2 linked regions of the Struthio camelus genome follow. The protein of the gene in region 1 purifies or fractionates together with the protein of each later gene. This does not show direct contact. Links are inferred from orthologs where the notes say so. Each region holds a gene or a part of one and is shown in the gene's direction. Other genes may lie near its edges.

What was found.
Region 2: the proteins of MAP2K2 (region 1) and KSR1 purify together in Homo sapiens (affinity purification with mass spectrometry; 4 studies listed by BioGRID and IntAct, with this or other methods). This does not show direct contact. The link is inferred for Struthio camelus from reciprocal best matches to the Homo sapiens genes MAP2K2 and KSR1.

Annotation. Positions count from the first base shown.
Region 1 is NC_090967.1:4,356,482-4,368,046, reverse strand, and holds the start of MAP2K2 (dual specificity mitogen-activated protein kinase kinase 2), read left to right. Parts: upstream 1-5,985; 5' UTR 5,986-6,088; coding exon 6,089-6,174; intron 6,175-7,353; coding exon 7,354-7,564; intron 7,565-9,312; coding exon 9,313-9,459; intron 9,460-10,140; coding exon 10,141-10,218; intron 10,219-10,732; coding exon 10,733-10,784; intron 10,785-10,883; coding exon 10,884-11,008; intron 11,009-11,565. Other genes in the region: CREB3L3 (cyclic AMP-responsive element-binding protein 3-like protein 3), read right to left, coding at 167-251, 443-511, 699-805, 889-1,020, 1,473-1,588, 1,840-2,095, 2,227-2,349. UniProt on the Homo sapiens protein: Catalyzes the concomitant phosphorylation of a threonine and a tyrosine residue in a Thr-Glu-Tyr sequence located in MAP kinases. Activates the ERK1 and ERK2 MAP kinases.
Region 2 is NC_090957.1:21,168,657-21,179,346, forward strand, and holds the start of KSR1 (kinase suppressor of Ras 1), read left to right. Parts: upstream 1-5,101; 5' UTR 5,102-5,241; coding exon 5,242-5,496; intron 5,497-10,690.

The DNA of each region.
Region 1 (11,565 bases):
CTGCTGCCACACACCTCCATCCATCCCTGCAGCCCTCCTTTCTTTCCTCCTTCCCTCCCTCCAAGCAGGGTGGCCATAGAGGGGTTTTGGGGCCTGAGGGGAGGCTGGAGAAGTTGGGGCCAGGGGTTTTGGGGTCCACAGCTGAGGAAGCGAGGGGTCAACGCACTGTGATGCAGGTGCCTGTCTGCGCTGCCTTGTTGGTCGACTGCACCACGAGGGCCTGGAGCTTCTTCAGCTGCTCCAGGAGGGACCTGGGGACAGGGAGACCTCATCAGCACCCCGAGGTCAAGCTGGGCTGGGACTCTCCTCCGAGCCCCTCCTGCCCCCCGCAGAGCTTGCCTGGGGGGGGGGTTCTCACCCCCCACGGTCACATCGTGATCCCCATGTCCCCGTTGTGCCCCTTGTGTCCCTGTCTGCCCCTTGTCCCCTGTGGGGCACCTACGAGTTCTGCTTCTCCAGGTGCAGGACCTTCCTCTGCAGCTCCTGGTTCTGGGCCGTGCACGCCGACATCCTGGGAGACGGGGAGAGGGAGATGGGGTAAGGAGGCGATGGCCCAGACCCCAGCACCACCCAGCTTGGGGCACCACTGCCGGGTGCACCCATGGGTGCCTGGGGCAGGATGTGGATGCCAGCCCAGGGGATTGGGGTGCAGCCACCCCGGGAACAGGCCAGGTTCAGGGGTTGGGGGGGGGCCATACCGGCTCTCCAGCCCGTCGATATACTCCTTTTTCTTCTTGCGGCTCTCCTGAGCCGACTGCTTGTTCCGGATCTTCCTCCGGATCTTCTTCAGCACCCGCTCCTCATACTGGGGGAGACAGGGGTCAGGGTGGCTGGGGACCCCAGTGGCCGCAGTGCCCACGCCCTGCGCCCGGCTGCTGTGGGACCCACCTTGGTGAGGGGCAGCTGCGTGGGCAGGGACACCCCCTCCTTCGCCAGCAGCTTCTTCTCGTCCTCCGTCAGCACCAGCTCCTGGCACTGCCCCTGGCTCTGCCGCAGCAGGGAGCTGGGCACCGGCAGCTGCTGCAGGGCCATGGACTGGTGATGTCCCCAGGGTGCGGGGTTACCCCGCACCCACCCCGAGGGACCATGGGGGCCGAGGGACCCCCCTCCTCCAAGGGACCAAGGCCCCAGAGGTAACAGCAAAGTTGGGGTTGGGGATGGGACCATGGTCCAGGAGGGTACAGGGAGAGGGATGTGGATATGGATGGGACCATGGTTCAGGAAGGGACAGAGATGGGGACAGGGATGGGGTTGGGTCCATGGTTCAGGGATGAGGATGGGATCATGGTTGAACAGGCGACAGGGATGGAGATGGGACCATGGCCAAGCAGGGACAGTGATGGGGACAGGGATGGGGATGGAACCATAGTTCAGGGATGAGGATGGGATCATGGTTGAACAGGCGACAGGGATGGAGATGGGACCAAGGTTCAGGGAAGGTAAGGGGTGGGGACAAGGGGACAGGGACTCACGGGGTCAGAGCTGCCTGAGAGCAGCAGGTCCTTGACGGTGAGGGTGCAGGATGCTGGCGCGGGGGCCGCAGGTGGGTCCTGGCTCTCCTCCAGGAAGAAGCCCGGGTGCCACATGTCTGGGCAAGAGAAGAGCGGGTGCTGTCAGCAGTGCCGTGTCTTGTGTCCCCCCCGACCCCAGTGCAGGACTCCTGGCCAGCTCCTCCAGCTCCTCCCCCATTAATCCCAGTCTGCCCAGTTCCTCCCGGTTCCCCAGTTCTTCCCAGTCCCCCAGACCTGCCAGTTCTCCCCAGCCTGTCCAGTCCCCTCCAGTACCCCTAAGTGCCCCCAGCTCCCCCAGTGCCCAGCCCGGTCTCTCCCCACAGCTCACCCAGGTCGATGGAGACCTCGGGGCGCGGGGCCCCAGGCACCCCCAGGAGGAGCAGGGGCTGGCCGGGGTCGGAGTAGGGGTAGGAGGCCTCGCCGAGCCCCCCGTCGCAGCACCCCAGGGGGCTGTCGAGCTGGTCGGAGGGGGGGTCCTCGGAGACCCCGCTGTCACTGGCAGCTGGCGACCAGCCGGGAGAGTCCGATGCTGAGTCCCCGGAGCCCAGGATGGAGCTGATGAAGTCCTTGCTGTCCTGGGCACGCTGCAGGGACAGGGGCGCCCGTCACCGTGGTGCACCTGTCCCCACGGGGCACCCGTCTCCACGGGGCACCCATCTGGCAAGGTCCAGGGTTCGGGCTCTCGTGCGAGGCAGGCCGCCCCACCGGGACTCACCGCGTCCTGCTGCCAGGGGCCCGCGGGCATCCGCAGCTCCATGCCGCGGAGGATCCCGTCCTCGCGGTCGAAGAGGAAGTCCAGCAGGTCGAGGCTGTTGAGGCCGCCCACGCTGGAGGCCATGGCTGGGGAGGCGGCAGGGTCAGGCCACCGGCCCCGGTCCCCCCTGCCCCATGGTCACCGCTGGCCTCTGCCCTCCTCCCCAGGGCCCAGCCACCTCCCCTGAACGGCATGACCCCAGGGCTGGGGCGCCCGAGGACACCCCGAATTGTGGGATGGGCACAGGGCTGGTGCAAGGGACACGTGTGTGAGACTGTGGGGACATGTCTCTACACACGTGCGCACAGTTGTGACTATGTGGACACGTGCGTAGGAGCAGGCAGATGTGTAGGTAGGTGGCTGTGACCATGCTGACACGTGTGTGTGTGGGGCCACGTGCATGTGTGCATACCTGCAAGCGTGTGACCATGTGCCGGTGCACGGCCATGCAGCTGCGTGCTTGTGGGCATATCTGGACAGACGTACCCACGTATTTGTGAGTGTGCGAGCGCATCCAGGCAAGCCCAGGTCTCCGCATGTGCACGTGTGGGAGGCAGAGCACGTATATGGCCGGGCACACATGTGCATGCACAGACTTGGGGGCCCAGGGGTAGCTCTGCTGAAGCTGGGTCCCTCCCTCTGCCCCCTTCCAGTGGCTGAAACTCCCACTCCCTATGTTTTTTCCCCCAAGAGAACTGCAAAGCCAGGGCTGACCCTCCCCACGGGCACACACTTGCCCCGGCACCCCTGGAACAGGAGGACGAGGGGCACCCAGGCCTGGGTGCTGCTCAGCTTCCCCAACAGACCCATCCGCCACGCGCGACGTGCTCGGGAAGATCAGGTTAATCATTTTGGGTGGTTAACATGGTGGGGGCAGGGGCAGCTACTGTTGGCCGGCCCCGAGAAGGGGACTCAGCCCTGGTCTACCAGGAACGCGCCAGTTATCAGGGACGGTTTGATACCCCAGACCCAACCAGCTGGCCAACGGACCAGGTGACCAACCAGCTGGCTGACCAACTGGCCAACTAGTTGACCAACCCCACCCAACTAGTCAACCAGCCGAATCAATCAACTGACCAACCAACAGACCAAATGGCCAATCAGCCAGCCAGCCAATTGATTGACTAACTGACTGACCAATCAACCAACCTACTGACCGACTGACCGACCAACCAACTGCCCAACTGACTGATCGAATGACCAACCGGCCACCCAATCGATTATCAAACTACCACCCAACCACCCAATCCACCACCCCTCTGACCCTCCCAACCTATTGACCACCCACCCAAAGAGCCCTTCAAGCCCAGTTTGGGAACATGACATTTGCCCAGCCGTCCCCAGGACGGGGGTTCATCGCTCCTCGTCACGCTCGCTCTCTCCTGCCAGCAAGCCCCATCGGCCCCGGGGCTGACGGAGCGGCTCGAGTGCCCAGCGGTGAGTGCTGGCAGCCAGGACCTACCTGTGCTAGATCCCAGCTCTAGCGGAGCAGGGTCTGTGGGTCCGTCCCGTCCTTCGAACCCCCTTGGCACGCAGAGGGAGCGGGCCGGACACCGAAGCCAGCCTCCTCCTCCTCTGCGGTGCCCTGACCCAAGTGGCAAAGTTTAAACTCCAACCACACAGAAATAGCATCAAGGATTGCAAAATCACCCGGGCCCTGATTGGGGATCAGCGCTGAGTGATGGCCGGGCTGCCAGGAAGGACCTGCGCCGCTCCGTAATTCATTAGCTAAATGTTTTTGTCCTCCTCCGCTAAGGGGGGGCAGGAGGGGCCAGGGCTGGTGGGGCAAAGTCCCGGCTGCCGCAGCTGCCAATGAACTTTCACCCATTTCGGGCCCAATTTCCCTTTTTTTAGATCAGCGTATCAGCATTAATTGCGTTATATAGGTGTTGAGAACAACATCCGGGGAAAATGTTGACTTGGACTCTGCTACTTATCTTGTGCTCAACAAATGTTGACCCCTTCTGGTCCCGGGGACCAGGGTGAGAGCTGCTGGGCTGGACGCCTGGGTGCTGCCACCCAGGCCGGTGCTCCCACGAGGGCTAGCCCCTGCCCTCCGTGCCTCAGTTTCCCTGCTAAGGGTTGGAGTTTGTTGGCTGCTGCTTTCCCACGTTTCCCTCTCCCTGTGGTGAGGGCGTCAGCCCGGAGGCACGTCAGCCACAGCACCCTCCACGCCATGACCCCAAACTCCAGTGGGATGGAAAAAACCCCGGGCCTGACGTCCCGGAAAGGCACCTGCGCTCGGACAGCCCCCTTGGGGGATTTAACATCATGACACAGATTTACACGGGCCTGGGCATCCTCCTTCCTTACCCAGACTGGGTCCACTTGGCCTCCAGACCCCCACCTAGATGCCACCAGAGCTCCTTTGTGCCACAGAGCTCCCTCATTGCCTTGCCAGACCAGCATTTTGGAGACTCATGGTCCGATCCTGCTCTCCGTCGGTAGGTATAACCCCACCCCGAGACCCCTCTCCATGGGGAGAAACACCTTTGAGGAGGGAAGAGCCAGCCACGGCCTGAGCTGGGCCAGGCAGTGCAGCTGGGCCACGGCGCGGGGAAGGGAAGGGTTTGGCCTCTTGCAGCTCCCCGTGTGGCAGCCCAGCGGCGAACCGGGAGCCCCGGTGAGTAAGAAAGCGTGTGACCGAGGTGTGGCAAGCGGGACGGCGAGGACAAGGCCGTGCGCCTGGCACCCGCCCGCTGCCCGCGGCCGTTATCTCGCTGCGCGACGCCCTCTGATCAGGCACGGCGGCCCGATCCGGTGGGGCACCCAGCGCCGGCCCGGCTCGGCCGCGGCGGGACCCTCGAGCAGGGGCCAGGCGGCTCGTCCCCGTGCCCGTCCCCGGGATGGAGGTGTCACAGCGGGTCCCTGGAAGCCCGGGCACCACGCCGAGAGCCTTCGCCCTCAGCGAGGAGGGGGAGAGCCGGGCGGAAAACGGGGGCCTGGCGGCGACGGGAGCCGGGCCGGGCGCGAGGCCGCGGTTTTACCCCTCCGCCCCCGCGGTGACGCCGCCGCTCCCGGCCCCGCCGCGCGCGTTTATTGCCCTGCTGCCGGAGACGGGAACCCCCTGGCGCCCGAGCAAAGGGCGCGCGGCTCGGCCTGGAGCCGCCGCCATCCCGGCCCCGGCGCCGGCCTCTCTTCGGCCTCCCGGGGCCGCGGCCGGGCGAGGCCGGCCGGCTCCTCGGCGGCGGGAGGCGTGAGGGCGAGGCCGGCCCGCAGCGGCCGAGGCTGCTAACCGCCCCGCTTCGTTAAGGCCCTCGACCGTTACCCTCGGCCTTTGCTGGGCGCGCGGGGCCGCCGAGAGCGACCGAGGGGGCCGGGGCGGCCGGCGGGGCAGGCCTGGGAAGGACCCGACGCCTGACGCCCGCTCCTTCCCTGTGACGCCCGCTGCCCGACGGCCCCCTTCTGCCTGGCTCTGCAGCCTTTGTCCCTTCGGCTGGGGTTGTCCGTCCCCGCCGCCGTCGCCCTCCCGGAGCCCCCTCCGTCCCCCTGCCCGGGCCTTCGCCGCCTTCTCCCCGTCCCTCCCTCTCCTCCGTCCTCCTTCCCTCACCCCGCGCCGCCATCTCCTCCCTCCGCCCTCGCCCTTTCCCTCCCCTCCTCCACCTCCCCCCCCCGCGCGCGCTCCCGCCGGCGCGCGCTCCCGCGAGACCCGCCCCGCGCTCTCGCGAGACGCCGCCGCCCCGCCCCTCCCGCCGCCGCCCGCGGCTCGGCCCCGCCCCCGCGGCTCGGCCCCGCCCCCATCCCCTCCCGCGCGCGCTCGTTGGCGCGCCCCCGCGGCCATGCGGCCGCGCCCCCGCTAGGCCCCGCACGGCCCGGCGCGGCCATGCCCGCCAAGAGGAAGCCGGTGCTGCCGGCCCTCAACATCGCCCCCAGCCCCGCCGAGGGGCCCAGCCCCGACGGCTCCGCCGAGTGAGTGAGTGGGGCGGCGGCCGCCGCCGGTCTGCGCCGTCACGGCGCTGCCACCGCCGCGGCCCCGGGCGGCAGGATGGGCCCGGCCTGGGGACGGGGTGGGAGAGCCGGCGGGAGGCAGGAGGTGGGGAGGGGGCCGGGCCCCCAGGGTGGCTGGGGACCAGGGGGCAGCTGGGCAAAGCCGGAGGGGGGGGGGGTGTCCCGGCAGCGCTGGCCGGCGTTGGGGGGCTGAGGCGAGGTGGGGTGGGGGGCTAGTCCTAGAGGGCAGGGGACAGGGAAGCCAGGCTGGGGGCCGGGGGCAGTTTTGGGGGAGGGAGGGGAGCGACTAGGGCTCAGGGGGAGCAGGATGCGGCACTGGGGTCGGGGGCTGCCGGGCGGTGAAAGCTTGGGGGGGGGGGGGCAGAGCCGCCCGTGGGGCTCCGAGCCTGCTGGCTCGGGTCCCCCCCGCCGCTCTGGGGCGGAGGAGGAGGCTGGAGCCGGGTTAGGAGGCGCGTAGGCCCGCGCCGGGCGCCCCGGGCAGCAGGTGCTGGGGGAGCACAGACATCCCTTTGTGCTCGGGCGAGCGGAGGGGCGGCCGGGGGTGTAACGGAGCAGGGGGATTTGCTGGACGCCTGGAAAGGGCCTTCTCGTGTTTCGCCGTGAAACCCAAGCTCGGCTCCCTGCGCTTGCGGAGCGAGAGGTTGCTCGCTGGTGCTGTCGCTCTCCCCGGGCTGAGCTCTGCTGCCCCTTTAAGGGCCGAACGATTTTCCCCGCTCCTTGGGGTTTCCTGAGACAGCTGACTGTATTAAAAAACCTCTCTGGAAGAGATGCAAGTGTTGGGCAGACATTGCATCACTGGTCTCTGCTGCCCGCACGTCCCCATCAGCAGCGTAGCCAAGCCTTGCGTCTCTCCTGAGCTTTGTTTTAGTCTCTCTGCTATATCACGGTTTTGGTCTGATTACGCGTAAGATGGGGCTTTTCTGTTATTTCCCTCTCCTTCCCTGCAGTGTCAAACGTTTTCCACTAAACGGTTTTGGGAGTCTCTTCCCTCTGGTTGGGCCCTCCTCTCTAACCCGTCGTGAGCCGTGCTTTCGTTTTGCCTCTGCCGCTAGAGCAAAGGACCGGACAAGCCCCCTTTCTCTGGCGATGGCCCCGCAGACTCCTGACCGTTTCTCCGTTCTCCTCCTTGTCTTTCTCCAGGGCGAACCTAGTAGACCTTCAGAAGAAGCTCGAGGAATTGGAACTGGATGAGCAGCAAAAGAAGCGCCTGGAAGCTTTTCTCACCCAGAAAGCCAAGGTCGGGGAGCTGAAGGACGATGACTTTGAGAGGATCTCTGAACTGGGAGCCGGCAACGGCGGCGTGGTCACCAAAGTGCAGCACAAACCCTCAGGACTCATTATGGCACGAAAGGTAACGGAGGGGCAGGTGCCCGGGGCCTGCTGGAGAGGTAAGGCGCAATGGCATATTGCGCTCATCCCAGCCCCAGGAAAGCCGGATTCGGTCAGGATCTCTCTGCGTTAACCCGTTCTCACGCTGAACTGAGTGGTATCCGTCTTGGTTGTCTGCTCTGGCGATTCTCTCCTGCCTGCCCCGGGAATAGATGCGGCTCCTTGAGATGTCAGCCGGGGTGGCTGTTGCGCGTAACAGAGGGAGGGGAATTTGGTTTCCTGCACCTTCTTGCCAAACCTGGCAGCCAGGTAGTGTTTGTGAGATGGGCTCTGCTCAGCCCCACAAATTTGCATACAGACCTCGTCGCCTGGGTTGGTAACGACTGTCCCTGCTGCCCTGAGCTGGGTTTTGTGTGTAGCCTCTCTCCCCTTGTCTCTTAGCAATCCAGCCGTTTCGCCCTTCACCAGTGGGCCCTCCGGGGAGGGGCAGCGCGCTCCGCAACAGATCCCTGGGGTTTTGCAACGTGTTTTGTGGAAACGCGAGTTTATTCTTTTTCCGTCTGCTAAACTGGATGGGGAAAACAGGCAACAGAGAGTCTTAGGTTGTAGCTAATGAGGACTGAAAATTCCTGGTGGAAATTATAGAGAGAAGGATTCCCTGTGAGCACAGCAGCTCCCCTACTGCAAGCCCGAGCTTTGAGCTGCTCCTGCACAGACAAGAGAAAGTCTTGTGTGCCTGGCTCACCCCCCAGCTTCCGTTTAATTGATCCCCAAGACAGTTCCAAGCAGCCTTGCAAGTCTGTCATGACAACAGAGCCTCTCGAGCATGGGTTTATGGGAGTCATCTCTTGTTGTGATGCTCTGTGATAGAAAAGGAGAAGATATTTTATCTGCCTGTTAGAAAAGGCAATGCTCAGTGAGGGAATAGCGCAACCGCTAATCCACGGGACAACTTCCTTGAAAGTCTCTGTTCTCGCTGCTGTGGGAGCAGTTTACAAGGTAACGGCAAGGTTCAGTGGTTCTCAAGAGCGAATATGTTTCTTTAGGCAGCTTCCCTTGGAGCTGACATCTCTGAGGTTTTCCATTGTGGCATTTGATTTGGGAGCATTACATGTAACTGATTTTGAAATTACTGCAGCTCAGAAACTGAAGCTCAAGGCAAGGTTAGGCAGCACAGTGCTGTGCGTCCCTGCAGAGACCAGCCTTTGTGGCCCTGTAGGAAGGCCAGAAGTCCCTGGTGAGGGAGGTCTTAGAGCTTACAGTAACAGTAGCTGCTTTTGTAACCTGGCGTCACGTTTTCCAGCCTCTATGGCTTCCCTACCCACAACTTTGTTAGCTGACTCTACGTGGAGCCCAAGGAATAATGCAGTTGGTCTTTCAAGTGCATAATCTTCATGTTTTTTTACTTTCTGTGGTTTCTTTGATATCAGAACACCTCTTATATTCTTACAACACCTACAGAGCTTGTGAAAATGTTGTGTGCTGAGTCAGATCTGCACCCAACTTCTGAGTTATCTTTCTGCTCTGTAGCCAGTGTGATCTCGGCATGTTACTTGGGCCTGCAGTTGCTTCAGTTGCTAACAGGCTGCGCAGCACGCTGGTTGTCCCCTTTATCCTTAATGTTTAGCATGCAAACAATAAAGTCTAGGTCAAAGCAGAGCTTCCTCGAGTGCTTTTTAATTTCTTTCCGGCACTGAGGACAGGCTCTCATGGCCCCGTAGTTTTTTTCCAGGCACTATACTTTGATGTTATTTTTTTCTTTCTTGGCAGCTGATTCATTTAGAAATCAAGCCAGCCATCAGGAATCAGATTATCCGGGAGCTGCAGGTGCTGCACGAGTGTAATTCCCCATACATTGTGGGTTTCTATGGAGCCTTCTACAGCGATGGGGAGATTTCCATCTGCATGGAGCACATGGTGAGTCCGTGTTCCTCCCCTGCAAACTGCTGCTCTCCGGTTCCATGTTCTGAGTCGCATCTCAGCGAGACTGAAACTGCAGGCAAAGTGGGTAAGCCTGCTAGCGCTCTCAGCTGGCAGCTGCAACGGCTTCTTGCTCTGGCTGCTTTGAGGGCAACAAGGCCGTTCAGCTCCTGCTAGAAGCTGCGTGGTCCTCCTTGGGCATCTAAATGACAGAGAAGTTGACTTTCTGGAAAGCAGAAGCAGAGGTTTGGGGGCCGGCCAAGCGGAAATGTTGTAAACCTGCCACTCTACAGAACTCCCCGAAGTGCAGTGTGCGTTTTCTGTTGTCTCTGGCAGGGAAGAGTGTTGTTTCTCCTCTGGATCAGTGCTGACAGCATCATCTTTGCATTGACCTCTAAGGGAAAGCATGCTAAAAGCTAACAGCAAGAAGTAGAGATGATAGACGACAGCTTTAAAATCGTTTTCAGTGAGAGCCAGTTTTAACAGAGATCATCAGAGATCTTTTCCCTCCTAATGGGAGGGTTCTTGGTGCCGAATTGTTACTGACAGCTGGGCTGGGATGCTGTATACTGCTCATATACCACTTAACCTCAGCAGGCATGCTAGACTGCATGGCCAGTTACTCTGCTTTTCTGCTGGGCTTTGGTGTGTTGATAATTTCTCTGTTTGTCGTTTCAGGATGGCGGCTCTCTGGATCAAGTGTTGAAAGAAGCCAAGAGAATTCCTGAGGAGATCTTGGGGAAAGTCAGTATAGCGGTAAGTTACTCTTCAGGCTTCCAGAAAGTATTTGCTGGGCACGTTTTGGGAACGGTGCTTGTCCTGCCTTAGTAAGCTTTCTTCATTTTCCCACGTGCTGCTTTTCTATCCTGAGCTAGGGTAATAGGCAGTGGTGCAAGAGTGATGGGAAGGAGGAATCTATTTCCAACCACTTTCTGTAGCTCTGGCCCCTTGCAGTGAGAAGCACTGTACCAGCCGGTGTTGGCCTCTCCTGGAAAAGTTTCAGGTGAAACTTTCTCGGGCAGTAAACCCAAGATTAGAGACTGACATGGTGGGGGTTGTTTTGCTCTCCGAGCAGATCCAAACAACAGCCATTGCTCACTGCAGCCCATGGTGATAGATTGCAAAACCTGAAACACTTAGTCACTACAGGGAGGCTTTCCTAGTGAAGCTGCAGTATGGCAGCTCCCGAAGTTTGTGCAACATGCCCTGCTGAAGGGAAGGCACTTCCCTTCCTAGCTCTTATCTCATCCTGTCTTTGGTTTCCTTGTAGGTTCTGAGAGGTTTGGCGTATCTGAGAGAGAAACACCAAATCATGCACAGAGGTGAGAGGAGGAACCTAAAAATAACTTCCTGTAGTACAAGAGCCCTGGATTATTTTTACCTAGCATTGTGTTAACGCTCTTCTCTTTCGTTGCTCTCAGATGTGAAGCCCTCTAACATCTTGGTTAATTCCCGAGGAGAGATTAAGCTGTGTGATTTTGGGGTCAGTGGTCAGCTCATTGACTCCATGGCAAACTCTTTTGTGGGAACTCGATCCTACATGTCTGTAAGTTCCTTTCAACTTTTAGGTGGGTTTTTACAATTCGGGTTCAACTCAACTTGGGGCGAGGGCTAAGCGCTCTTATGGTATCAGTGTGTGCCGTTTGCTCACAGTTTTGCTCTGTGTTCCCACCCTCACCTGCCCTGTCCTGTCTGTTTTGGGGCACTCTCTGACCATGCCCATTTATCAGTATCACACCCTGAGGATTAGACCAGAGGACACTCGTCCTGCGTGATCGAAGCAAGTGCTGCTGTCTTGTCTTGAGGAGTTAGTGTCTGGTGAGGTCATGGTTTGCCACCTTTCTCCGCATCACCTCAACTGCGGTAGCTGTCGGTGTGCTCGTAGCCTGCAGCTCACCCCTGCAGTAATGGGCTTTCCCTCTACTCTCTCGGCACCAAAGCCAGCTCAGGGGCCTGCCGGGTGGAGCTGGCTGCGGCGCTGCTTCCCGGCACTTACCGCAGGGCAGCTAGTCGGCTCTGATCGGTGGTGGTGTGTGTGGAAGCCCGGAGAGACTTGTAAAGAAAGAAGTTCTGATCCTATAGATACTTCCAATTTCCTCAGCT
Region 2 (10,690 bases), on another chromosome or scaffold:
TGTTTTGCCTGCCCAACTGGGCCTCTAATGTAATTAGTGCATTAAGCTCACAAAAGGGGCAGCTGTGCAGAAAAAGAGAAAAAAAAAGCTGGTCTGAAAAAGTGGAAGTGGACCTATCCTACCATTTTCTTAAAGGTACAGGACCAAATCTTAAACGGATACAAAATGGTTTGGCTCAATTGCAGGCAATGGAGACACTTAAGCTGAGAAAAACAGGAAGAATTTGTTCTGTGGCCACCGTCTCACCATCTTCACTTTCTCTGTATATCCTAAAAAGAATATCCAGTAGCATGTCTAAAAATAGGACTGAAGTTTCTCAACTTCACAGTAGACAAGTATGCCAAAACTACTGTGTACTATTGTGCTGTGCTGAAATGAGAAAGGAATACTCATACTGTCTGTGTAGGAGGAAGCCTTTGAGGGGAAGATCATCGATAATAAAGGCCTCTTTTATCTGAAACACCTAACATTTCAGCTCTTCAAATCCCAACAGTGCATTTTCTTAAAACAGGTTTCTATTATCTGTGTTAAACACATCAAATTGAGTAATTCAGTATCATCATCTAAATTCAGTGTTGTGATAGCTGAATGAAATTGGGGCAAGCTAGCTAAAAAGGTAATAGAAGCCTTTCTTAAAAGCAGCATGTGAAATGCATCAGTGCTTTTCTTTCTTTGAGGAGGAAAGAAAAAAAAGAAAAAAAAAAGTCTCTGCTTTTCTCCAGTGTGCTTATGTTACTGAGCTGAAGACTCTTGATATGGTCTATAGGGCAGGACTTGCTAGAGGCGATTAGTGAGATTAGGGCTTTATTATGGTAGTTAGCAAAGGAAAATCCTTGTCCCGGAGAACTTAGTCTCTGTGGACAAGGTGGGGGAGGGGGGAGGGAATCCTTTCAATTCTTAGATCAGTGGCTGAAGCAAGCATTTAGCAGTTCTCTCTGACCTGGTTTAGGCGTTCAACAGTCTATTGTTGTTTTCAAAACTATTGTTTTTCTACATGCAAAAAAGGCTACTGCATTCTTCCCATCTGAATGACATATACCATGTGCTTGTGGCTCCTCCGACTCAGGAAAAAAAAAAATTGTTTTCCTCTAGAGAATGCAGTTCTTAGCTCTACTACACACACAGTACAACCAAGAAAAGTTCTAACAAGTGTGTGTCAATAAATGTATGTATGATACATGGCATAAAAATGTTATTTTCCTAAATCTCTGGGCAAAACACAGCTCATTCAGAGTGCTCATAGGGCAGCTCTAGCACTGACCAACCACTGTATTTCTCTCTTCAAGCCCTCTGAGAAAGCAATGTGTTGTTAGCACCTTTTTTATAGACAACTGAGATTCCAGACAAATTATCCAAGACCACACGTGAAGTCTGTGGTGAAACAGGAACCTGAGCTCGGTTGCCAATAGACATGCTTTCCTCCCATTTTTTTCTGTATTTTTATTTTCAGCGCAAAGACTATGACAAATCACAACAGGGTCAACATGGTAGAATATTTGCATTGTCTATACAAGGTGCAAGATGTGGGGAAATACTGCTCAGTAGGCTCAAGAAGCAAACGGAGTTGAAATCATTTTTTTCCCCCCTTGCTCTGAGTTGCGTTCTCCAATACACAGTCTCAAAACTGGCCTCACATAAAACACAGTGTGTATAAGAAATTAACTGAAGGCCCCAAAATATGCGTGTGTGTGTGAACAGGGGGATGGAATTTGCATCCCACCATGTAAGTAGTATATGGGGATGCTCTGTTATGACTCCTTTTGTGGGGCTGGAATAAGGGATACGCTCCTGTGGAATACTGCTGGCTACATCCATGAAATTAGGAAAATTACACTCCCTCTCCCCCTCCATCTTCACAAACATCTGCTCCTGGTATCTCAATATCGTGTCTCTTCAGTGCTCACCCTGTATGACGCAGGCTGCAACTCTGTGGGACACCCAAGGTTGCAGTCCTGTGCTAACAACTGTGGGGTTCACCTCGGCATGAGACAATGGTTTCCCTGTGGTTTAGTGTGTGTAGCTCTGTGCCTCTCCTTTCACCCTTGCTACTGGAGTCAAAATAGCCAGCCAGTAAGAGAATAGCTCACTTGTGTGTTATCTGCTTCCACAGTGAATGTGACAGCCTCATGAACACGTGAGCAATGCTGAGTAGGAACATGAACGCAGGGAGCTTGCAGAATGTTTAGTCAGCACATTTTTCCATTTCAGCCTGGAGAGTAGTCTCGTATGCCGGGGGCTGGAATGCTGCCCGCTTATGGTAGCCAGTTAATTAGGCCGACACTCCGCATGTGATACACCACCCCTCGTTGAGAATGCCAAATGTCTTGTGATGCACAGTCCACTCTTTTCCTAGTTTGCTTTCTTATGCAACAAACCTGGTTTGTCCTCTATTAGCAAATGAATGTTCCCAGGTAGATAGATAGAGGATGTCTACGAGAATAATATCCCTGTAATAATATTTGCCCATTCCACAGTCACCTGCATTTGAGGACTTCAGTGTGGCAGACTATCAGAAATTTGCAGTGATCCTGGGGGGAAAAAGGGGGGATTGCAGATCTTTTTATAAGGTTGGGAAAATGGAGGTAATAATAAGTAAAACAAGTAAGTGACTTTCCCGAAACCACAGAACTCATTAGTTGGCAAACTAAGTAAACCCTAAACCAAGGAAGGCCTTACAACGTGTATGAAATTTACAGTATGTGAATAACAACAATGAAATAAAATACTTTGCTTGATCTACGTGCTTAAGGAAATTACAAAACAGCATATGGCCCTCTACTTGGGGCACGTGCAGCCAAACTAACATGGATACCAGTATCCATCTAACCATGAGAAAGCAGCTCAGTGTCAACTAATTTACCCTGCTCCAGTGGAGACCAGTTACACTGTACATATGCCTCATATCCCGTAATCATATTTCCCCCACTTTTTTGCATAAAACTCACTTCTGTGAGTTTGTGTGTATTGCCACATGTGGCTTAGATGTCATTTTTTGACTTTAAAACCTGGTATCAATTCAGCCCTAATTAAGCAGTTGCTCTTCTGCTGTCAGCAGCATGCAACTGAATTGTCTTTCTGAATCCTTTGCTGCAGATAAGTAAATCTGGTAACAGTTAGGAAATGTATTATTAGTGCATTGACATCTCATACAGTGTGCTAATAAACTGCAGTTCAGGGTGACTATCAGGATATAAAATCAAATGCATCTATAATGTAGTTACCTGTAGCTTTTTTTTTTTTTCCTGATGTTTCTGTTGTGAAATTTGAAGCCACTGAGGTTCCAGGATACCATAATAAAGTTCCTTCCTCTTCATGATACGAATGAACCCACATGACTACTGCACTGCAGTGTTTATATTCACTAAAAGATGTTTATAATAATGCCCACTTCACATACTAGACCTGCACTTATTCTTTACTGAGTAAGTGTTTATGTCAAATAAGACACATAGCATCGATTTATAGGACATTTGGGAAAGGCTATTTTAGACAAACTCTCCACAGACCCTAATAAGCAACTCAGATAAGGCTAATTCTTGGTTTGTTTCGGTGTAATTCCACAGACATCACTAGTATTGGTTAAACTGTAACTCTCGGATTTCACGCCACACCACAGGCAGGTCTGGCCTTCCCGCAGCCGGCTGCCCCATTAGGACAGGCGCCCTGCGAGGGCAGGGAAACAGCACCGCCCTTTCCACACGGGTTTTAACCCACGTCCGGGCCCCAGCTGCCTCTGCCCCCTGTGCAGGCATGGGGACGGGCTCACCTCGCTGCGCTGCGCTCTGCTCCCTCCAGGGCCGGGCCCACACAGCTCCCTTGCGGCCTCACACCTCCCCGGGGGCGGCCGCAGCGGGGCTGACTGCTGGGGGGCCGAGCTGCAAGTCTCGACATGGCGGGGGCCATGGGGGCTGGGGGCGGTGGTAACAAAGCTGTGGCGGGTGCTGAGGGAGCAGTGCTGGCAAGGCTGTGGCAGGCACTGAGGGTGGCAAGGCTAGAGCAGGTGCTGTGGTGGGCGCTGAAGGAGGGGGCACTGAGGGGCTGTGACAGGCACTGAGAGAGGGGCGCTAACGAGGCCACAGTGGGTGCAGAGGGGGGTGGTGGCGAGGCTGTGGCAGGGGCTGAAGGAGCCTCCTGCGGGCGCTGAGGGGCTGTGGCGGGTGCTGAGGGAGGGGGCGCTAACGAGGCTGTGGCGGGTGCTGAAGGGCGGGCGCTGAGGGAGGGGCGCTAACGAGGCTGTGGCGGGTGCTGAAGGGCGGGCGCTGAGGGAGGGGGTGGTGGCGAGGCTGTGGCGGGCACTGAGGGAGGGGGCGCTAACGAGGCTGTGGCGGGCGCTGAGGGGGGCGGTGGCGAAGCTGTGGCGGGTGCTGAGGGAGGGGCACTAATGAGGCTGCGGTGGGTGCTGAAGGGCGGGCGCTGAGGGGGGCGGTGGCGAGGCTGTGGCGGGTGCTGAGGGAGGGGCACTAATGAGGCTGCGGTGGGTGCTGAAGGGCGGGCGCTGAGGGGGGCGGTGGCGAGGCTGTGGCGGGTGCTGAGGGAGGGGCACTAATGAGGCTGCGGTGGGTGCTGAAGGGCGGGCGCTGAGGGGGGCGGTGGCGAGGCTGTGGCGGGTGCTGAGGGAGGGGCACTAATGAGGCTGCGGTGGGTGCTGAAGGGCGGGCGCTGAGGGGGGCGGTGGCGAGGCTGTGGCGGGTGCTGAGGGAGGGGCACTAATGAGGCTGCGGTGGGTGCTGAAGGGCGGGCGCTGAGGGGGGCGGTGGCGAGGCTGTGGTGGGTGCTGAGGGAGGGGCACTAATGAGGCTGCGGTGGGTGCTGAAGGGCGGGCGCTGAGGGGGGCGGTGGCGAGGCTGTGGCGGGTGCTGAGGGAGGGGCACTAATGAGGCTGTGGCGGGCGCTGAGGGAGGGGGCGCTAACGAGGCTGTGGCGGGCGCTGAGGGAGGGGGCGCTAACGAGGCTGTGGCGGGCGCTGAGGGGCCGAGGCGGGCGGCTGCGGCAGGCTCTGAGGGGGACCCGGGCGGGCGCTGAGGGGGCGTGCGGAGGAGCCGCCCGCGCCCCCTCGCGGAGCGCCCGCCGCCTGCGCGGGGCGGCCGCGCCCGCGGTGGCTCGCCGGCGTGCATGTTAATGCGCGGCAACTGCTCGGGGAGGCGGAGCGGAGCGAACCGCCGCCCGCCCGCTCGCCTGCCTTCCCCCTCTTCCCCCCCCGCCGCCGCCGCCTCTCCTCGCCGGCCTCCCTGATGCCGAGGAATGGATAGAGCGGCTGCCCTGCGAGCCGCCGGCATGCTGGAGAGGAAGGAGCGGAGCGGCGGCGAGGCGGCGGCCCGGGCGGGCGCGGCGGGGCCGGGGCCGGCCGTGCGGGGCTTGCCGGCCGTGCGGAGCACGCTGCAGCAGTGCGGGCTGCTCCAGGACCTCATCGACATCTCGCTGTCCAACCTGCGCGGGCTGCGCACGAAGTGCGCCGCGTCCAACGACCTCACGCAGCAGGAGATCCGCACCCTAGAGGTACGGGGCCCGGCAGCCGCGGCTCGAGGCCTGCCCCCCGCCGCCGGGGCCTGCCCGCCCCCTCCCCGCCCGGCCCCGGCGCCCTCTCCCCTCAGCAGCGGCAGCGGGAAGCGCCGCCGGGCCGCGCCGCCTCGCCGGTGCGTGGCCCCTTCCTCCGCCGCGGGGAGCGGGAGGGAGGCCCCCCGCCGCCCTGTCAGCCGGGGTCGCCTGGGCCCGGCCCTCTCGGGGCATCCGCGGCCCCAGATCCTTGCCCTGCAACACGGCCCCGAAGCGGCGCCCTGCGGAGGGGGTTGAGGTGAAGGGGGGGGGCGCCCGAGAAGGGGCAGGCCCGTGGGGAGGGCCTGGGGCCCGCATCCCGCGGCTGGCGGGCAAATTTGGGGTGCGGCAGGGCTGTCGGAGGAGTCTGCATTGAGGGAGAGCTGCATTTGCCTCGCGTGTCCGTGCCCGCTGCCCCCCATCCGGCTGCGCAGCCCCGGCGCTGCTGGCCAGTGGCTGGTCTCTGCGTTTCATCCTCTGCAGAGGTGGATGCGAGGCAGGGCAGAGAGCAGAGATGAGCGCAGGCTCCCTGGCAGGAGCTGGGACACTGCATCTGTTGTCCACAGACAGCTGGAGATACCTTCTCCCACTGGTCCTGCTCTTTGGTGTTTGCTTCTAATGGCTCCTGCCCTGTACTTCCAGGCCTGTCTTTCTATTCCTGGCTCAGTTTCACTGATCTAATTTGATCCTCCTTTTTGCTCCGTCGGGGTGGCTGACAGCAGCACCACAGCCCAGGCTGGAGAGATGTTCCGCTGCTTAGAGAGGTTGTAGGAAACTCCTGATGCACAGAGCATGATGCTTTCAAACAAGGACCAAGTCTGTACAGACACACTCAAGTCTGCCTAAGTATTGAGAAGGAGAATTTGGATTTGTTTTTGTTTGCTTCTTCTGACCTTTAGAAACTGAAATAACATTTTCTTTTACCTTGTATGCAGGTGATATTGCTCTAAGTATGGTAGACAACTCCTAACCCTCATCCTTGACCAGAAGTTTCATATAAAGGCTAATGGCCCTTTTCTCTAGTGCGATAGTAGGGGCTGTAGAGCTAGACCATCAGACCTTTAAGAAGAAGCATCATTACAACAGAATAACTGTAACAAACAGATATTCTGTGAAATCATCACATGAGAAATTTGGAAAAAAAAAACCTGTAAAAACAATAGGTGGTAGCTCTTGGCACAATCTCTTAGAAACCTGTCATTTTTCCTTCTCCCTTCCCCTGCATTTTTTTTAACTGATAGTACTCTTTTCTTCCTCTTGCCACCTCCAAATAGCCTTCAAAAAGTAAGAGAAAACACTGCTATTCTTTATAAAACAACATTTGTGCAGACTTTTTGCAATCCTAGTAACTGCTTTTTCAATACCCAAACAATAACAATCAGCATCATTTTGGAAAATCATCAGTAGTACTTTGCTCGTGGCCCATTCTAAAAGGAAATCTTTATTTACAAGGGATAAAGGCGTGCTATGGTCTTCCGATTCTTCTTAAGGCAACAAAAACTTTCTAGTGATAGTTGTCTAGTCTATGCACACATTCTTCTTAAACATTTAACTGCGTAAACAAATGGGTGCCACATTCACTGGTGGTGAAATATTTCTCTCTGATGCACTGTCTGCTATATGATTTCTCTGGGAATTCAACCAAATGCTAAATCTTTGCCAACATGTGAAGCTACAGGCATGAGGATGGACTTGATGGACTCTGCCCTTTACTCTGTTTGGTTACCTCTACCAAAATATGTGCTGTCAAGGAGTCTTGAGCTCAACAACTGTCTGTGTCTGAAGTAGATTTGTCTACAGCCACAGAGCAGAGAATTAAACCGTAGGAGATGAGGGTCTGTGTTTACTTCTGTAAGTTGTAATTTCCCAGAGAGACGCCCAGACTGCGGTAGGCTGCATTGCTATCTCGAATAGCAGGTGGTCTGCCTGTGGCACTACACAACGCAACTATTGTGCCTTGGTTAGCGTGACAGAAATGCATGCATGTTTGGTCATAGACATTTGCATATCAGATCAAGTTGGCACAGACAGATGCTCCAGTATTGCACAGATCCAGTGCTACTGGTGATCTGACTGCAGTGCAGTTATTGCACAGACTGTAGGTAAGTCCTCACTAGTCCGTAATTTTAACCAAAAGCTTGGACTTTGAAGTCTGAAGATTTCTAATGTCTGCTGCCATTCTCTGGGTGGCCTTGACGAGTCACTGAATGACTTTGTGGATCGTGGTTAGTGGCTACTAGTGGTATGGTTGCTGGGCCTGCAAGCCCCATCTGTACTTCAGATTTGAATCCATAAGTGTTTTTTGTTCTTGTGTGGAAACTTTTTCATGGAAAAAGAGTTATGAAAAAACTTAGCTGAAACAGTATAACATAAACTGTAGCAAAGCCACAAGGATATGATAAAACATGAGATAGATACAAGAAGCAAACTGGAAACAGGAAGTACTAGTTTAGGAAGAGAGGGGACTTGACCTTGGAAGTTGAAGTAGGCCACTACTCAGTAGGCTCCTGAGGCCAAATATGAGGCTGCATGTATGTGTTCTGAAGGCAGTCCAATATATTAGGTCAAAAGTCAGCCCTTTTTTTTTTTTTTTTTTTTTTAATTTGAAGGAACAAAAAAGTGGGGGAGTGTCCATGATGCACTTTCTTTATAGCTCATAGGTTTGCAAAAGTTTTGTGATGCCTAGTTTTTGGTGTCAGCACTGTGAACCTACAGGTGGAGGGATACCTCCTTGAAGGGAAACTTATATCTCAGTGAGCCATAGGCATTCTGACTGCCTGTGTGTGAGGGTGAATACTGTCAGGTGTACATGGCTGTTTAAACTTTAGAGCAACACAGATCAGACTGCAGTGTGTGCTGTTTACCACTTCTAGTCCCACAGTTAGCAAAGCCCTGAAGTAAAGTTCTGAAAGCAGTTTTAGACACTAAACACCAGTGAAAATTAATCTTAATTTCTGTGTTATTTTATTTTTACCTTAAACTACTAGTTGGTCCTTTTGGTACCTCTTCCTTCTGAGTCTGTTCACAACTCGATGTATATATTACAATATACATCGCATGATTCATAGTATGCGTGTTTCAAAGTCAAGAACATCAACCTAAGCAAAGGTAATTCAGTGTCTGCTTATGTTCCTTCCAATTTATTGAAATGCATTCTGCTTAAGTGTGTGTATATGCTCTTCCCAAACTAAAGCACATGGTGGATAAGGATGTCAAACTGGGACTTTGATAAGTAAAAATAAGCATATATACTCATTTTAGCTCTAATGATTGCAGGGAGAACTTTCTGTAATGCAGAAAGAAGAGGAGGGAATACAGGCCTGTGGGAATTGCTTGCAAATAACTTGCTGAGGGTAGATATGTTACATGAGCTGGCCCTGTTTCATGTGTAGTAAGGCTGTTTCTTAGAAGGGTAGGGAGTTTCCCTGCAATGCAAAGTAGACTCTGTTAGTTTGGTTATTAACAGAGCAGGTTCTCTGATACCACAAGGTCTTGTATTTTTTAATTTTTATATGTTCTGCTGAATAAGTGCTTGAGTGTTTTTCTTTTTACCCAGCATTTCAGTATATGGCTTACTTTCAGTTCTGTCATAGCAGGTTTACTCACTTCTCAAGTAGGCTTCAAAATTGAAATGGAAAATAATGGTAATCTTAAACCATACCTCAGAGAGAAAAAACGTCTTGCGGTGTGGCGAGCACCAATACTCCTCCATGCATCCTTGGAAAGAAGCAACTCTTGACAGTTTTTAACTCTATCCCTATGCTAATCCCTTGCACAACTTGTAAATTGTCTTAGCACAGTTATAAGCATGCTATTTTTAGCCATACTTCTTTATGAAAGTGGTAACTCTCTGGATCTGTGTCTCTGGCTAGGAAGCTGATAACAGAACAAGACTTGGCAATCTGTAGCAAGGCACATGAAACCTCTAACATTATAGCTCAAGCCAGTCTGTTGAGATAAAGAAGAGAATATAGTCTTATGTGTTGGTTGCAAGTTCTTTTGGTTTCCCAGTCTCTTCTGCTGAAGACAGCATAGCTGGTTTTATAAACTGCAGGAATTGCCAGACTAAGCAGGGCACTTTTTCCAACGTTAATTGCCACAAAGATGAAGCAGGACCAAGCTGAACTGACCTCTAAAGTGTATTTAGATTGCCAAAGTATTTTTTCTACCTTAGTTTTTACATCATGAGAGCTAACTGTTTCTGGCAAGGAAGCAGCTTCCAAACTGGTTATGATGGCTCTGTCAGGGTGGGGCTGTAGTACGCATCGCTAAGATCTGCCAGTTTTTAAAAAAAAAAAAAAAAATCTTCATTGCATTTTGACTAGAATACCTCTGTGACTAGAGACACTCTTGGCCTAGTGTGCAAAGATCACTTTGACCTCTTCCTCAGGGCTACCTTCTGTTCAGCACCCCTGGAAAGCATGATGTGATATCGAAAAGCCTGACTCCAGCTGTGCTGTGTCACAGACAAGTCTACAACTCCACAAATCACCCTTTCGAACTGGCTGAATGATACCTGTGAATTAAATATGTTTGAACTTGCATTGACAGATCCTGATGTATTTGGCAATTTTTCTATAAAAAGCTTATCTCTTAACAAGCAATCTCAAAACAGAAGCAAATGCTTTGAAAATGAGGGACAATGAGGGGAGCATAAGAGGAGAGGAAGAAGAATTGCAGTAGTCCAAACTTGCACACTGGAAGTTGGGCATGTGGTATACACAAAGGGAAGACTGTATTATTTGTAAGTTGTAAGCAGTAAGAGTAATGAATTTTTCAGGCCAAACTGCAACCTGTAGCCACATGTTTGTGAGACTTGCTCAGCTGAAGACTTCCTTTTCCAACAGGTCTTATGTAAGAGATTTTCTTCTTCTCCTATTTCATCTTACTTTTTGCATACATGCAGCATACCTGTTTTTCCTCAAAGGTATCTGTCTTTTTTTTTGTAAGACGTTCTTTTTTCCTAAGTTTGTGCACTTACTTGTATAAGATACACTTCCAAAGAGAATCTGTTTGACTTGGTAATAATACATAGTTCTGCTTCCTTCCAAGTTTGTAGACTTCTTTATCATAATGTGTCTTTGTATGTGATCAGAATTCGCACATCATAGTGGAATTTAGCTTATCTCCTACTACTGATTTTATATAAATGTTTGCA